Linked DNA regions of Cricetulus griseus. The protein of the gene in region 1 interacts with the protein of each later gene in a biochemical or structural test. Links are inferred from orthologs where the notes say so. Each region holds a gene or a part of one and is shown in the gene's direction. Other genes may lie near its edges.

Region 1 (6,676 bases):
CTTGCATTCTGACCACAGACACCAGAAATCCCACAGGAAGTTGTGCTTCTGAGTGTTGTGGTTTTTAGTTTCCTGTTCCTCTGCATTAGATCAGAAAGAAATCTGTACACAAAGGGAAATTCTTGGTTGAACTTTCTTGTAACTCTAAATGAGATTCTCTAACTCACTTGGATTTCTTCCCTTTTGATTTAAACCTAGAGAAAATGTAGCCACATTCATCTGTACTCATTAATGTCATGGTACACTTTGAAAACTTTTTGGTGTTCAGTGGATAAACTCTTATTCAAGTTAAGGGTGTGTCTCAGAGATTATGCTATATTCTGTCCACTCCAGTTTATCTGGGGAAAGGTCATATTGAAGCACCTTCCCACAGATAAACTGTAGGGCGGCAGAGCTAGATTCCTGACAACAGTGTTTTTCTTTAAAATTATTTTCTGATTTCTTTATTTTTATTAGCATACAAATTAATAGGTGTCACTATGGCAGCTTAATTTCTATAAATGATAGGAACTTCCCTTGCTATTTGGAGAAGATACACAAATATAGTTTGGTTTAGATATTAAGAATATCTGTTCAATTTACCTAGTGTAACATTTAGTTCAATTTAGATAATGTAATTCCATTATTCAAAATACCATTGGAAAATTTTAAAATGTTATGTTAACTGGAAATTTTTGATACACTTTTTAAAGCAAAGTATTATGAAAGTGAAACGTTTTTATTGATTTCATTTTTTTAAAGCCATGACAAAAATTAGATCAATCAGGTATACTGGATTTGAGACAAGTTGCAGATATCTAACATTTAATTCATACAGTGGGAGACATGATAGAAGATTGTCCAAAGAGAAAAGAGGAAGAGTATGTGCATAACACACCCCATCTGCCTCTAGGCAGGTTTGCAGAATGCATTTTATTAAAAGTTAACGCACTGATGTGAAAGACCTTCAATAACCACTTTCTAAAAATACAAAACATCTAAGTGTTTTGTGATGCTGTTTTCTCAGAGGAAAAATTTAATCACTCTTCTTAAGAGAACACAGGGCACTTTGCCTTTGAAACAATCACATGCAATATGACTAAAACAAAAAAAATGACTTTAATTGGTTTCTTTCATGGCAAGAAATAGGGTTTGGTTTGCATAATTTTTTTTTCTAGTTCAACTAGCTTAGAGTTGCAAAACACATGATTTTGAAATCTTAATTGTCATATACAGATATTTCTTAGAAGTAAGTTTGATTCTGTCACGTAGCTGAATTCTAAAAACTATTGTTTAACCCTATGTTCATGCCCCACTCTACCTTGCCTGGCCATCGTAGCATTATAATAGGTACTTTAAGGATGTTATTTAATGTTACTAAAAATTCTTGATATCTGTGAAGAGCTTTGCAGTATACAGAGTGTAACTTAATGAAGCTCGAAGTGGTTTTCTACCTATTTTTCCTGTTCATCAAGGTAGCTAGCTGGCCTAAGTTTGCGCGGTGGCCGATTGAACTGGTGGTGAGTTCCGCATGTACTTACATACTTTTTTGTCCAGCTTGAGCTGGAGGGCATGGTTTTCAGAAAGGCAGGCAGCCTGGTCTATCTCTTCAGGGGCCAAGAATTTCAGCAATCTTGATAGCCCAAAAATGTCTAGGGAGGCATGAGAAAGAAAGTGGCTGGGATTATCTCTGGATGCCTAGATCTGTAACTTGGTTTATTTAAGGCAGTTGGCTTGTTCTGAGCCTGCTAGAGCGCTTCTGATGTACTTCAAACAAAAACACATCTCTCTTCAATAGGGTAACAATGCCCAGACACGTGGTGACAGTTGTGACCATTGTTACTTGCGAGGTTAAGGAAACCACAGTCAGGTATTGGCCAGGCTCGCCTTTCCTGCCACACTCCTGCGTGGGACTGATCTGGGGTGGCTGGCTTAGGAAGAGAGTAGACAAGTCTCCGTAGGGAGTTGAAAAGCTTAGGTACATAGAGGTGTGGGCTTCTCCGGGGCGAATTCTGCCGGATCTTTCATAGAAGCAAACAGGATGGCTCGCGCGGCAGCGGAAACCGCCTAGCAAGTTACTTGGAGAGCTGAGCTTTTCCTTCCGCGCGGGGGTCGGAGCCGGCCTGGCCCCGCCCCTCGCCGAGGCCCCGCCCCCGCCGGCTGGGCATGCTCAGTGGCCCGGTCCGGCAGGTTTTGCGTGGCTGCTTGAGTTGCCCGCGACGGCTCTGCCCGCCGACGGCACGTCTCTCGGCGGCCACGCGTTCCGGGGAAGTTACGTGCGGGAGCAGGTTTCTGAGGAGACGCCCGAGGGCGGAGGGGACGGCCGGGGGTCTCGGTCCTGCGGAGCGGCGAGCGGGCCGAGGGCGGCGGAGGCCGAGCAGGCGGCCGGGTGTGCCCCGCGGAGAAGCCCGGGCGGGGCGGACGCTTCCCGGACTTTTGTCCCACTTGAATCCCCTCCCCGTGGGCCGGGCCTTTCCGGCCGCCCCCGCCCCTGCCCCGCTCGTCCCCGGGAGATGTTTATGCGGACGGTGGCGTGAGGAGCGGGCGGGCGGGCCGGCGGCGCGGAGTTTCGGGTCCGAGGAGCCTCGCGCGGCGCCGAGAGAGACAAGATGTCCGCCAGGGCCGCGGCCGCTAAGGTGAGGGCTCACGGCCCGCCGGGCTGCGGGCGGGGCGGTGGAGGACCCGGGGCCCTGCGGGGGGCCTCGCCCCGCCCTCCCCGCGGGCGGCAGCCGGGGGCGACGGTGGCGGGGCGGGGAGGCAGGGAAGGAAGGCGGGCTGGAGACGCGCCTGCCGCCCGGGCAGGTGCACGGCTGCCGGTGCCTGGCTCCGGCTCGCGCTGGGAGGCGACGTGCAACAGGTCTCGCGCCTGGAAAGTCGCCCCGGGTGAGGATTCTCATGTCTCCGAGAGCGTGTCTGCTGAGACCCAGGGGTGTCACCTGCAGCAGGCCGGTGGGTAGCTCGGGCTGTCTCCGGAGGAGTGGTTGGTACCCGGCGAAACCCTGTAGTTTCGATCTGATGTCACCCGCTGCGGTATGCGCAATGGCAGCGATAAAGCTTTGAGACAGCAAAACACTCAGCTCGAGAGTAGCTAAGATTTTTTTTTTTTTTAGCTTTAATATTTATGTGAGGCATCAGAGGAGGAAAGTTCTTAACACTTTAATTTCAACTTTCAAAAGTATCACAAAGTGTCCCTGCACATGGACAATAAGATGGACTCAACAACAGAAAATACCCGATGAATTCTGCACAAAACAACGTTCCGGTCCATTTCCCCGTGTGTTTTGAAGTGTGTTTCTTGACACAGCATGCCTTATGTTATTAAGTACTACATTAAGCCAAAAAATTTTAAAAATCGAGTTAGAATTCTTCCCATTTATGCATTTTAGTACTTGGTCTTTCAAACAATGATAGGAACACAAAATGTGATGAGTGAAAAAACTCCCTTTAAAAAAAAATCCATTACTCAAACAACTTAAAACAGGTGGTGATTTTATATATTTTTCTATTAGAAATACTTAATCATAACCTTAGGGAGCAGATAGAAGGAAGCGCCTGAATTCTTAATAGGACCTTGTCTTTTGGCTGGCAGTAGTTAGCGGTTACAGTTAGTAGTGAATAGATTGTTTTAAGGAATGGAGTATTCCTCCCTTAGTAATAATGCTTGTATCTTATTTGAAGGCACATTGATGACCGATCTAAAACGTAAGCCTGGGACCAAAAACTAGAATCAGTGCAACATTTTGTTACTTATAAAACATAAAACTTGTTATTTACCTTTGCTGGGACTTCCTGGGAAGAAAGGCTTTGTTGCCATATTACACAGAATGTCACTTTGTTTCGAAGTGTGAGCCCTGGTACTTGTTATTCAAGACAACACAGTTGGAAAGTGTTATTACTAGAGAAGTGTTTCCAATAGCTTGCTATGGCAAGGTGATTTAGAAGGTGTGCTTACACATAAATTATGATATTGAGATTTTTATGGAACATGGCAATGCTTCTCTAGTCAAATATTTGCATGCTTAGCTGGTAATTGAAGAATTATTTTCTTGGATGCTGTATTGGGGCACACTTTGAAGTCTACATAAAGCTAGAACCCACCATAAGTGAACAGGTAAATGCAGTGCTAACCAGTTGTTTCCCTAAGTCACATTTATTGTTTTGCTTAAGAGCTCAACTCTGTCAGTGCTTTACATAGGGTGCTTTTGTTTTTCCCACCCCTGTTAAAATATTTTACAGACACTAATTTTGCAGCACAACAGTTGTAGAGCTTGTGTATAAGCCAATGCTTTTGATTCTGTATTCTTGTAATGGTTGAGTAATTTTCATCTTGCTGCTCAGGTCATCATTGCCTTTTTGAGGAGATGTTTGGCTTGTTTCCAGGATATTGTTACTGCAATGAGTACACTTTAAATAATTGTATTTACATTTTTGTATCTGTCCACTTACTACTGTATGGCAAATTCTTAAAAATGAAATTGCTATGTCAAAGAGTTCATTTGAAATTCTGATATACCCATTAAAATCTTCCTCCAGAGCCTATACTTAAGAATAAATACAACAAATGATGGTTTGTTACCCAAATCTAGGGGAATCAAACTCTGGGTGAAGAGAGTCAGAACCTACCCATGGTCCCTGAATTGATGTGTAAGTGCAGTGCAGTTCCAAGTAGAATTCCAGTGTGGTATTATAGAAAACATGATAGTTTGATGTTTATCTTACCACATAAATGAATGGAGGGAGAAAGTCCTTTCAGATAATCTAATGTATTATAAATTCAGAGTAATTTAAAGTAGGCTATTGCTTCAGGAATAGAGAATGGCGCCACACAGCCATAAATAAATAATACTTATTATTCAGAAATAAATAAATAGTACTTATTTATTGGCTGTTAGTGTTTGTGATCAACTTTTAATATGTACTGTGGTTGTTTTGTGTTGGTAATTCACTTAATTCTCACAGTAATGCTGTGAAAGTGGAAATAGTTTGCACTCTTAGCCCAACAAAAGGGAAAACTGAATATATGTCAAAATAAGAATAGATTATTGGGAAAGGATCCTTTATTCAATAAATAAGACTACTAAGGCGGGTATCTTTTTTTAAAAAAAATGTTTCTTTTATGTAACAAAATCCAGAAGAATCTTTGTTGTAGTTGTTATTTATTGTGGGTGTCTGATGGGAATGCACACATGCTGTGGCAACCCAGTGGATGACAATTTTGTGGCTTTGGTCAGTCTAGCATCTGTGAGTTACAACCACCTTTATCCACTAAGCCATCCTTCCTTCGATGCTCCTCATGAAGTTTTAAGTGTTTGAAAAAAATAACTGAAAAAGCACTAGGAGAAATGTGTAGGGAGACATAAGCTCTTGAGCTCACAACACATGCCTGAGTACTACGTGTACACACACACACACACACACACACACACACACACACACACACACACACACGTTTGAAAAGGGATTCTCTGTGCATGATGTTCAGTAAATAAAGGAAAAAGCCTTTTATCTGTATGATGCGTATCTGAATTTGCATTGAATTTTGCTTACTAGTGTACTTGGTAACAGCTATTTGGAAGTTGAAAACAGAAATTTGGGGATGGTTCTCTGCCTTACCAAATAATTGTTTAACTAGGTAAGAAAATAGTATTAATTATTAGGAACATTTTCATTGGCTGACCCATCAACAGTTACTGAAGGGAGTTGAATGGTTTCTGGAATTTCAAGTTGTATCACTTTGGAGAAACAGTAAAAATTATTGTGCCTTCCTTGGCTAGCTTATTGTTTTGCTGTGTAATGAAATGTTTGTGTCGGAGAAACAGTTTTGTTTTTGCTAGTGGCTATGTCTGAAATAATGTAGATGGGTATAAAAATGATTTATACTTTTCTTTTTTAAACCATTGCTCTGTTTATTGTGAGGGTTCTCAGGAATCTTTATCAAGTGAGGCACAGTTAGTTTTTTTAGTAGCTGAACATTTTTGAATTTTAACTGCAGAAAATAGCTAATGTTCAAAACTTATTCCACCAGTCTTTATGGATAGGGATTGTTTGCTGAGGAACTATTAAACAATTTTAGTTTGGTACTTAACTGATCAGTGAGTATTTGCTTCATATACTTCAAGAGTAAAGTAAAAACTCACTTGAGGCTCAAGATTTTCACTTTATTGAGTCTGCCACCATTTATGATCTTTGTTCTACTGATACCCCTCCCCCCCTCAGTTTGTACAGTAGTTTTCACCAGGATGTAGAATTTTAGACACAGGCTTTTAAGTATGTAGGTGTTCAGCCTTTTAGATGCTGTTCATTAAAGCTTTACTTCATGTAAATTGGTTGGTAGTCCTCATTATATTATGTAGCTTCATAACTTACTGATACAGTGCCATTTTCCCCAATAGATGTTTCCATGGCAGGAGCTTGTAAAGTGAACTTTTATTTCAGATTTGAGGAAGACTTCATGCTGCCTCTGGCTTGCTGTAGTGATAGTGTTAGCCCAACTCACCAATAGTAAGGAGCATGTGTTGGGTATTTATAGAACTGCTTCTATAAATTACAATAGCTTCACTTTTTTTTTTTTAAATCCTAGAATTGGGATTCTGCCTCTGACTTACCTGCTCTGTAATCCTTTTCTATTTAGAGACCTAATGTAAGTTCAATACAGTTGTTAAGAATAAATCAGAATAAATAAAATCACTCTAAATTT
Region 2 (4,975 bases), on another chromosome or scaffold:
TGAATTTGTGATAGTCCTGCCTCTCCCTCTCAAAAGCTGAGATCGCAGGTATTGGCTGCCACACCTAGCTGGAGCACTTAACCGGAATAAGACCTTGCTTTTGGCTTCATGAGCCCCCAGATCAGAAAGGGGCATGGAAGTGCATCTTCAAGGCTGTAACCCCACGCTTGTAGCATGGAGGGGACACCTGCTCCATTGGTTCTTCTAACTCTGGGGTTCATTAGGTAGCCAAGAGTCACTTTCCAATGAATTCCAAGTACTGAGCACCCAAGGACCACATGGCATGACCGCAGAAGGAAGATGGCCTTCTTTAAGATCGAGGACTATGCGTTTGTTGCATATGGTGGTGCACACCTGTAATCCCAGCACCAGGAGGATGAGGAAGAAGCATGGAGAATTTGGGGACAGCCGGGGCTCCATCCTGACACCCCAGCCTCAAGTACGGGGACTAAAAGGAAATATTTAAAAAGATTCTGAAGCCAGGCAGTGGTGGTGCATGCCTTTAGTTCAGCACTAGGAATGCAGAGGCAGGCAGATCTGTGAGTTCGAGGCCAGCCTGGTCTACTGAGCTAGTTCCAAGGCAGCCTCCAAAGCCACAGAGAAACCCTGTCTCAAAAAAACAAAATAACAACAACAACAAAAAGATTCTGTGTCCGTTTGGGTTGGAATTGGACTCACAGGCAGCCCAGGGTAGCAGGGTTAGGGTGGAGTTCTGGATAGTGATCAGGGAGGGATTTATGGCAGCTATGGTCTTTGTGGCGTTTACCCCGCAAGGTAAGAAGAGAAACACAAGCCGGTGGTGGTGGTGCACGCCTTTAATCCCAGCACTAAGGAAGCAGAGGCCGGCAGATCTCTGAGTTCAAGGCCAGCCTGGTCTACAGAGTGAGTTCCAGAACAGCCAGAGCTGTTACACACACAATTGAGGCATGCACACCAGGAGGCCAGGGCAAATAAAAGGAGCCCAGATCTGGCTGTGATTAGAGGGCGCTGTACCAATGACGCCCTCCTCAGTTCCGACTGCCCACACTAGAGCCCACTGTTTCTCCCTTCTTGCATTTCCCAGATGCCTTTGGGGTGCACGTGCTCCCTTCTCAGCTTGTCCTCAGAAAGACTGTTTGACTCTGTCCTTTGTACCCAGGCAGGGTGGGGGTAAGGGAGCGTTTGAGACTACCCCCCACCCCCCAAGGCCAGTCTCTGGTCAAACTAGATTCCTTGTCTTGCAAAACATCTATCTGACCCCCACCTCCATGCTGTCCTCTCCCTGAGATGTCCTCTTTGACCCAATCCCCACAGCCTTGCACAATCCCAGGGGAGAGGGTGTGTGTTTCTCAATATAATGCCCCCTAGAACTGTGCCTAGGAGCACACCTTCTCTGTTGAGCTCCCTGTCTGCACCCCTGGTTGGAGGTCCCCTTTCTCTTGGAAGTCTCCAGGGACTTTGTGCCCAGGTTGGCTTTTATGGGAATGGCTCCCTTGCCTTGCAAGAGTAAACATCAGTTTACAGGATAAATCATCTTCTGTAGCCTGTTAGGGTTTTTAATTCTTCTTTACCCAGTTCTGGCCAAGTAGGCTCAGTCCCAGGAAGAGGAGACAGGATTTTGTCACTACCACTACCCACAATTTTTTTTTTTTTGGTTTTTGAGACAGGGTTTCTCTGTGTAGCTTTGGAGGCTGTCTTGGCACTCGCTCTGGAGACCAGGCTGGCCTCGAACTCACAGAGATCCGCCTGCCTCTGCCTCCCGAGTGCTGGGATCAAAGGCGTGTGCCACCAACACTCAATTTTAAATTACATTTACTTATTGTATTTGTGCATCAGAGGACATATGTGTGTCCTATAACGTAGGTCTCAGGGATCAAAACCAGGTCCGTGGGGCTTAGCAGCAAGCACCTTTACCCACTGAACCCTCTCATCAGCCCTTCTGCGTCTCTTGCCCTGGCCCAAAGTGCCTCACCTCTAAACCCCGAGGCACTCTGGCTGGGTGGGGAAATCAATCACTTGAGAGGGAAATGAAGACAGTAGGTGATCTGGCTCTGAGTCCCCAACCCTCACCCCCGCAGATCCTCATTTCCCCACACCGACTTCCTCTGGCTAATGGTAGGAAAGTTGCTGTTGAGGCAAAGTACAGGTGCTGCCACGTTAATGACAATAATAGCCATGATGACAGTGATAAAATTGAGAGGGTAAAAGCAGCACTAATTACGACAGGGTTTCTCTTGGACGTTCTCAGGCATTATCCTCAGATCGGGCTCTCCATTTTCTTATCTCACGGGAGCCCAATATGAGTCTTGGGGACCCTCGCCTTCAGCTCCGAACCCTAGCTAGGCTTGGCTGCTTGTTTCTCCTAGTGTCCCCACCCGGTGAGCACCCAGGTGCTTTTGGCTGGTGACTCAGTGTCTGTCTCTCGACTGACCTTAGCACGAGCCTGGGGAGCTGGGGGAGATGATAGTTTCCTGTGATACCAGCAAGTGACTCAGGGGCCCAGAATTGGGGCCTCAGAACGCCTTTGTTGGCCTAGGTTCAGGAATCCAGAGAAACTGGTCAGGAGGGAGGCCTGGGGACTGAAACCCCTCCCTCTGCCTCCGCCCCTCCTCCACCGTGCTTTAACTGCTGCACCTGCGGCCTCCTGTCCTGGTTGCAGGTGCGGGCAGGAAGGCGCTTGGTAGCTGGTGTACCCGACTCAGCTTCTCCGGCTTGCTTCGTGTCCCTGAGGCTCACCAGAAAAAGCTTTGCCAGCCCTCGGACTTCTATAGCTGCCAGAGAGAGAGAGATACTTTTTTGTGGTCTCCAACCTTGAACCCTGCAGAGACTGAGCCATGGCGTCCATGGGACTACAAGTGCTGGGAATCGCCTTGGCGGTCCTGGGCTGGCTGGGCGCTATTCTGAGCTGTGCGCTCCCCATGTGGCGGGTGACCGCCTTCATCGGCAGCAACATCGTCACGGCGCAGACCAGCTGGGAGGGCCTGTGGATGAACTGCGTGGTGCAGAGCACCGGCCAGATGCAGTGCAAGGTGTACGACTCGCTGCTGGCCCTGCCGCAGGACCTGCAGGCCGCCCGAGCCCTCATGGTCGTCTGCATCCTCGTGGCAGCGGTGGGGATGCTTCTCTCAGTGGTAGGGGGCAAGTGCACCAACTGCATGGAAGACGAGACCACCAAGGCCAAGACCATGATCGGAGCCGGCGCGGTGTTCATCGTGGCAGCCTTGCTGGCTATGGTGCCTATATCTTGGACCGCACACAACGTCATCCGCGACTTCTACAATCCGCTGGTAGTTGCCGGGCAGAAAAGGGAGATGGGAGCTTCGCTTTACATCGGCTGGGCAGCCTCCGGGCTGCTGCTCCTGGGAGGAGGCCTGCTCTGTTGCAGCTGCCCACCTCGTAGCAACGACAAGCCCTACTCCGCTAAGTACTCCGCCGCCCGCTCTGCTCCCGCCAGCAACTATGTGTAAGGTGGGCCACTCTGCTATGTCCCCATTGCCTTTGTTATTTTTTTTTTTTCACCTCGGATTGAGTTCACAATAGCCTGTGATATCCTCACTTCCCTCGGGACCTGCCCTGCTATGGGCCACTAGTTGCTGGGGACAGCAAGCCCGGATTGTGCTAAGTTACTGGCTAAAGTAGCCCTTGGGAGCCATCTGCCTCGCTTGGACACGTCTCAAGGCTCCTTACTCCGGCAAGGATGAATGTAAAAGTATTTCCTTGCTGCCCCCGTTCAAATTGCTCATGGATGCAGGGCTGAAGGCAGAAACTGCTGGGTACCGCAGTGGAGCGGGGAGCTGGGTCCTGCTGGCCGGGATAGCTCAGCTGTGACTTTGGGCCCCCCAGTGGGTGTCCTGCTCATGCTAGCACCTGCACTGACCCTTTTCTATCCTCACTCTCTCTGCCCACACCTGTTACTCCGGCGCTACTCTTGCCATTGTGCCCCATGTTTCTGAGCACACCTGGCCCTACCTGGAGCCTTGGTGTGACCAAGATGACTGTGACTGAGGGGACTTGAGAGCCGGATGGATTCTGCCGTGGAACCCCAGTGACTGACAATGACTGGGCATTACCCACCCACCTACCCTCCAAATAGAGTTGTGTGGAGTGGATGGACGGGTTTGAGGGAAGGGCGGAGGTGGATTAAACTGGTTTGGGGAGTGCTGGTGCTGGGGACCTAGAAGCAGCCCAGGCTGTCCCCACCCCTTTCTGGTACTGTCTTGCTAAATGTCCCGCTCTCTGCACCCCCCCCCCCAAGACCCTGGGCCTCTTGAGCCGCCCCTCTGAACTCCCTACCCTTGTAAATTTCAAGGACGCTGGCCAGTCTGCGGAAGGTATGGGGGCAATGGCGTTGCAAGAGGGAGTCTCCCGGGACTCCCCTGCCTTCTCTGTGGTTTCTTGTTTTGTAATTTAAGAACTATTCACAGCTGTAATTATTATTTTCTACAATAAATGGTTCCCGTGTACAGGAAAGGTTTGGGCTGTTCTCTGTATCTGTGGATGGGACAGGGCTGGAGGGCTGGCTGGTGGTCCCAGGGGGACCTTGATGTTGTAAGAAGTTGAAGTGATTTCAAGAGCTGAGGTTGCAGTTCAGCTAATAGCGTGCCTGGAATGCCAGAAACCCCAGGTTCCATACTTAGCCCCAAGTAAACCAAGTGCAGAAGCAAGAGGATTAGAACTTGAAGGTCATCTCCCACTACATAGTAGGTTCAAGGCTAGCCTGGTCTACTTGACCCTGTCTCAAGAGTGATTTCAGCCGGCATTGGTGGTGCACGCCTTTAATCCCAGCACTGGAGGCAGAGGCAGGGGGATCTCTGTGATTTCAGAGCTAGCCTGGTCTACAGAGCAAGTTCCAGGACAGGTTCCAAAGCAATACAGAGAAACCCTGTCTTGAAAAACCAAAAAAAGAGTGACTTCAGAGGATTGTAAGAATCAGAACTAACTCTGTCTAACCTGAATGACCACCATGTTTGAGCCTTTTGTTTGCATTTTCATTTTT
Region 3 (4,813 bases), on another chromosome or scaffold:
AGAGCCGAAAGCAATTTAGTTCAGTCACCTTATGGAGTATGAGCAGGTGAATCTTGGGGGTCATGGAGTTCAAACAAATGTGGATTTTATCCTTTGGTCAACAGTGGGCCATTGGAATGTCTTAAGAGTAGTAACTTGGGAAAACATGAAGACTTGAGTTCAGCTCTCCAGGAACAATGTAAAAAGTAAACCTGGGTGTGGAGGCATGTGCACTCAGAGTGGGTGAGGAGGAAGCAGATCACAAGGGTTCACATGCCAGTGAAAACAACAAGCTTCAGGGTCAGTGAGAGACCTCTCAAAATAAAAATAAAGGCAGAAGGTGACGATAGAGTTCAGTGAGGAAAGGTCCTTGCTGTCAAGTCTAACAACCTGCATTTGATCACCAGATCTCACATGGTGGCAGGAGGGAACCAACTCTCCCACAAGTTGGCCTCTGACCTCCACATGCACACACATGTATGCATGAGTGTTTGATAAAATAAATTATCAAGACCTCGAAAGATAAGATGGAGAAAAATCTAGGAAGATACCTGAAGTCAACATCTGACATCCACAGGTTTATGCCTCCAGTGGCACCCCTGCCCAACCTGGGGAACGTTTGTGTGCGCATGTCCACGCACCTACATGTAGGCACATGTGGACACACATTCAAATGACCTCTTCCGATTCATGTGCTGAAAGATCATCATGGCCACCATGAGGAGACTGAATTGGGCTAGACAAGACTGGAAGTAAGACCAGTTATAAAACTATTGTTTACCCAGGTGAAGCCCCGAATTAGGAAGTAGTGGTGGAACGTCATATTTATAAGATGCAGGGTTAAACAGGAGCAGGGTGACAAGGATCACTCCTGGGATATTGATCTAGATGGAGAGGATTACCATTTGGTGACAACATAGGACCCAGGCAAGAACTGATCAGGAGGTACAGAGGGAGAGGGGCTGTGTTCTTTTGAAAATGTCAGACGGGGATGTCATAAGACTTTTCCATACTCCCACTGAGATAAGTCTCAATCACCTCCTCCCAGAATTTTTTTATTAGAAGATCCCATTGCCTGTGTTGATTGTTAGGAGAGTTTCCACTGAAAATTTAGATTTGGATAGGGAACAGATTAGGTAATAGAGTAGGTGCGCTTGTTAATTTCTAGAGTTTTAATTCAGGAAAGAATGGATCCCTGAGCAATGTGAAAGAGAAATTTTAAAACATTTGTTTTCTATGCATATGAGCGTTTTGCCTGTATGAATGTCTGTGCATCACTTGTGTGCCAGGTGCTGGCAGAGGCCAGAAGAGGGCATCCGAGATGGAGCTAGAGTTACTGGCAGTTATGAGACCCCACACAAGTGCTGGGAATTGAACCTAGGTCCTCTGGAAGAGCAACCAGTGCTCTTAACCACTGAGCCATCATCTCTCCAGCCCTCCCACACACAAAAAAAAAATATTGAGGAAGGTGAAGATGGAGTAGCAATGGTGTATTGGGTTGAAAATTTGTGGACTGAACAGTCTTGCAGAAGGTGCTGGAGGAGTGTTACTTTGACCTCTGAATCTGGAGCCTTGGAAACGGCGAAATCGCCTAACACTGCAAAATCCCATCAATCACTGAATGTCTGCCTACCTTTTGCAAAGTCCTCTACTACTGGAGCAGATTCCCTCCCCTCCACTTTTTCTACTGTCTCTGACGAGCCAGGGACCTTGAGGACCCCTGGGACCTGGAGTTCAACAGTTTTTCTTTAGAGTCCTCCCATGTCATTTGAGAGGCTGGTCATGGGATCATTTGTTAGGAGAGGAGACAGGAAATACCCGGTGTGCTATACCTTTTTGGGGCTCTTATTCTGCCTTGCAGGGAGGGATCTGAGCAAGGCTAAAAGACCTGACCTCTCAGAGAGTGGACAGAAAGCTTTGTTTCCCACCCTGATTCGCCCTGGAAATCCATTATTGCCATAGGCAAAATGATTCTGGGGTAAGCCAGTACTTGGCAATTCAAGTAGCCTCTAACAAACTGGAGTCCAAGGCCGCATTCTAAGACTTGTTCCACACGATCCAGTCTCCTGGAGTTTGGCCTCAGTCTGCAATTGAGGGGCCCTGTGGTGTGGTTGCTTGGCAATATGTTAAATAGCAGGCCTTGGAGACAGGCAGTAGAGTTAACACACCACAACTGCTATTGCCATCACTACCTTCTCGGAAAGCAGCCACCTGTCTGGCCCCTGCCTTTCTTTGTCTGACTGCCAACCTAAAGCATGTGCCTACGCAGGAGGTGATGACATTTTGGCTCTACTTCCAAAGTTTTTTTTTTCTTTCTCATGTGTTATTTTTAAAGATAACAAAGGTCAAAAGGCATCCAGCGTTTTCTGGTTTCTCATAAGCTTCTGGTCAATATTTAATCTGGTTTATGGTTTTTTTTTTTTTTTTAAGGATTTCTAGATGCCTTCTTGAGCCTGCTTGTGGCCACCCACAGATACTTGTAAGGAGGGAAGAAGTCAGCTTGCCAGAGACACTGTGAGATGAGGGATTAGAGGCTGGGATCCAAGAAACAAGAGCAGCAGCCAAAAGACAAGAGAACGGGCTCCGAAGAGACTTCTATTGAGAGGTCTGCCATGGCCTCCCTTGGCGTCCAACTGGTGGGCTACATCCTAGGCCTTTTGGGGCTTTTAGGCACATCGATTGCCATGTTGCTTCCCAACTGGCGAACAAGTTCTTATGTTGGTGCCAGCATTGTGACAGCGGTTGGCTTTTCCAAGGGCCTCTGGATGGAGTGTGCTACGCACAGCACAGGCATCACCCAGTGTGACATCTACAGTACACTTCTAGGACTTCCTGCTGACATCCAGGCTGCCCAGGCCATGATGGTGACATCCAGTGCAATGTCCTCACTGGCCTGCATTATCTCTGTGGTGGGCATGAGATGCACAGTGTTCTGCCAGGAATCTCGAGCTAAGGACAGAGTGGCTGTAGTGGGTGGAGTTTTCTTCATCCTTGGCGGCATCCTGGGTTTTATCCCAGTTGCCTGGAATCTTCATGGCATCCTTCGGGACTTCTACTCACCACTGGTTCCAGACAGCATGAAATTTGAGATTGGAGAGGCGCTTTACTTGGGCATTATCTCATCCCTGTTCTCCCTGGTAGCTGGAGTTATTCTCTGCTTTTCCTGCTCGCCTCGAGGAAATCGTACCAACTACTATGATGGCTACCAGGCCCAGCCTCTTGCCACTAGGAGCTCTCCAAGGCCTGGTCAACAGCTCAAAGCCAAGAGTGAGTTCAACTCCTACAGCCTGACTGGGTATGTGTGAAGAACCAGGGCCAGAGCTGGGGATGGGGTGGGGTGGTGACTGGGACTGTAAAAAGCAACAAAAAAGTAGTGGACAATGCCCTGAGGGTCACAGGCAAGGGACATTGCCACTGAATCATGTGTAAGGTGCTGCTGAGGCTAGACTGACTGTGGTCATTGGATGGAGGGAAGGCAAAGATGGGGACTGGTGAGACACCATCTAGGTTGAATTGCCAAGGATACTCACCAAGCCAGCTTTTCTACTTCCCTTACCTTGCCTCACCAAGGCACCTCCTGTACCCTGAATGCTCAAACTAAAACTCCAAATCCCATCTCTGCTACTTTTGGCTAAACCCAGAGGCATTCTTCTGACCTTTGCTTTACCTGGAAATCCATGCCCCCAACCCACTAATCACATCCCACTGACAATCTGTGACCAGAAGACCTTTTCCCGGGTTGAGGTTGGCTCTTAACTCAGTTGCTGGGGGACAGACAGAAGAAGGAGTGGTGGCTTCTGTGAGCATGGCTCTAGCTCCCTTCTCAAACCTCCATCCAAAGAAATGGATTGATCAGTAGCAGGCCCGAAGCCTCCCTCCCACCTTTGTTATTAATGCAGCATGTCCAGACTGGTCTGGAATGAACGGAAAGAACGATATCTCATGGCATCCAGAAGAAAGCAACTGGGTATAGGATGGGAGGCAACATGGGACCCCCCAGACCATCAGAATCACACTCAGGGCACTTCCTCTGATTCCCATACTCTTGTGGAAGCATAGTTGCAGGAAAGCACAAGGCTGCAGCACTTTGACTCCACTGAGGAATTAATTGCCAAGAAGCTGCAGTTAACAACTACCACTGAAGCCTCTGCCCTCTCTGGGGTGTCTGACCTAGCCTCCTGGCTAAACCACACGACTTGGAGCCCTAGACAAAGGTTTCCTTGGGAACAACAAACCAGTTTTTCTAGAACTGCCCTTCAGTATGCCAACCGTAGAGGACTAAGAAAGATAACTTAACCCTGGCCAAGAAAGAGTAAGAACTTCCGGATCTAAGAAGCTGGGTGGACACGTATGATGGTTGTCATGCGTGCTCCTACTGTTTCAGAGGCAGCCCCACCAGCAACTTCAGACTTAATGGGAAAACAGCCCGTTGGTCTACACTTGGAACACTTGAGAGCCTCTGAAAGACCATAGCACCAGATAAGTTGTTGGTCATTTTTAATACTCATGTCATTGCCCATCAGAAGATTCTCTGGCAGGGCTGCAAGGTCTCCAGCATGAAACATCTATGATCTGAGTGATAGTTGAACTGCTGCCTGGGATTGTGCTTGAGTTGGGAGAACAGAGAACGGTTCTCAGCCAAACAGTTTCACTTTCAAGGTCTTAAACTACTCCATTTCGTCTGTGACAGGTGGGGATCAGAAACAAGAGACGTCTTTTCCCCACCAGCCTAATATCACCACCTTCAGAAGATACCCAGCACATCTCGTCAAAACCTCAGCACCAGCAAGGAAGGCCCATGAGTGAGGTTTCCTCTAACATGCCTTTCCTATTT

The links. The genes of interacting proteins can lie anywhere in the genome.
Region 2: the proteins of Tjp1 (region 1) and Claudin-4 form a complex in vitro, tested with the Homo sapiens proteins (2 studies listed by BioGRID and IntAct, with this or other methods). The link is inferred for Cricetulus griseus from reciprocal best matches to the Homo sapiens genes TJP1 and CLDN4.
Region 3: the proteins of Tjp1 (region 1) and Cldn2 form a complex in vitro, tested with the Homo sapiens proteins (2 studies listed by BioGRID and IntAct, with this or other methods). The link is inferred for Cricetulus griseus from reciprocal best matches to the Homo sapiens genes TJP1 and CLDN2.

The regions. Positions count from the first base shown.
Region 1 is NC_048596.1:131,896,896-131,903,571, forward strand, and holds the start of Tjp1 (tight junction protein ZO-1), read left to right. Parts: upstream 1-2,172; 5' UTR 2,173-2,588; coding exon 2,589-2,615; intron 2,616-6,676. UniProt on the Homo sapiens protein: TJP1, TJP2, and TJP3 are closely related scaffolding proteins that link tight junction (TJ) transmembrane proteins such as claudins, junctional adhesion molecules, and occludin to the actin cytoskeleton.
Region 2 is NC_048597.1:114,020,262-114,025,236, reverse strand, and holds Claudin-4 (claudin-4), read left to right. Parts: upstream 1-2,813; coding exon 2,814-3,446; downstream 3,447-4,975. UniProt on the Homo sapiens protein: Can associate with other claudins to regulate tight junction structural and functional strand dynamics.
Region 3 is NC_048604.1:40,527,789-40,532,601, reverse strand, and holds Cldn2 (claudin-2), read left to right. Parts: upstream 1-2,591; coding exon 2,592-3,284; downstream 3,285-4,813. UniProt on the Homo sapiens protein: Forms paracellular channels: polymerizes in tight junction strands with cation- and water-selective channels through the strands, conveying epithelial permeability in a process known as paracellular tight junction permeability.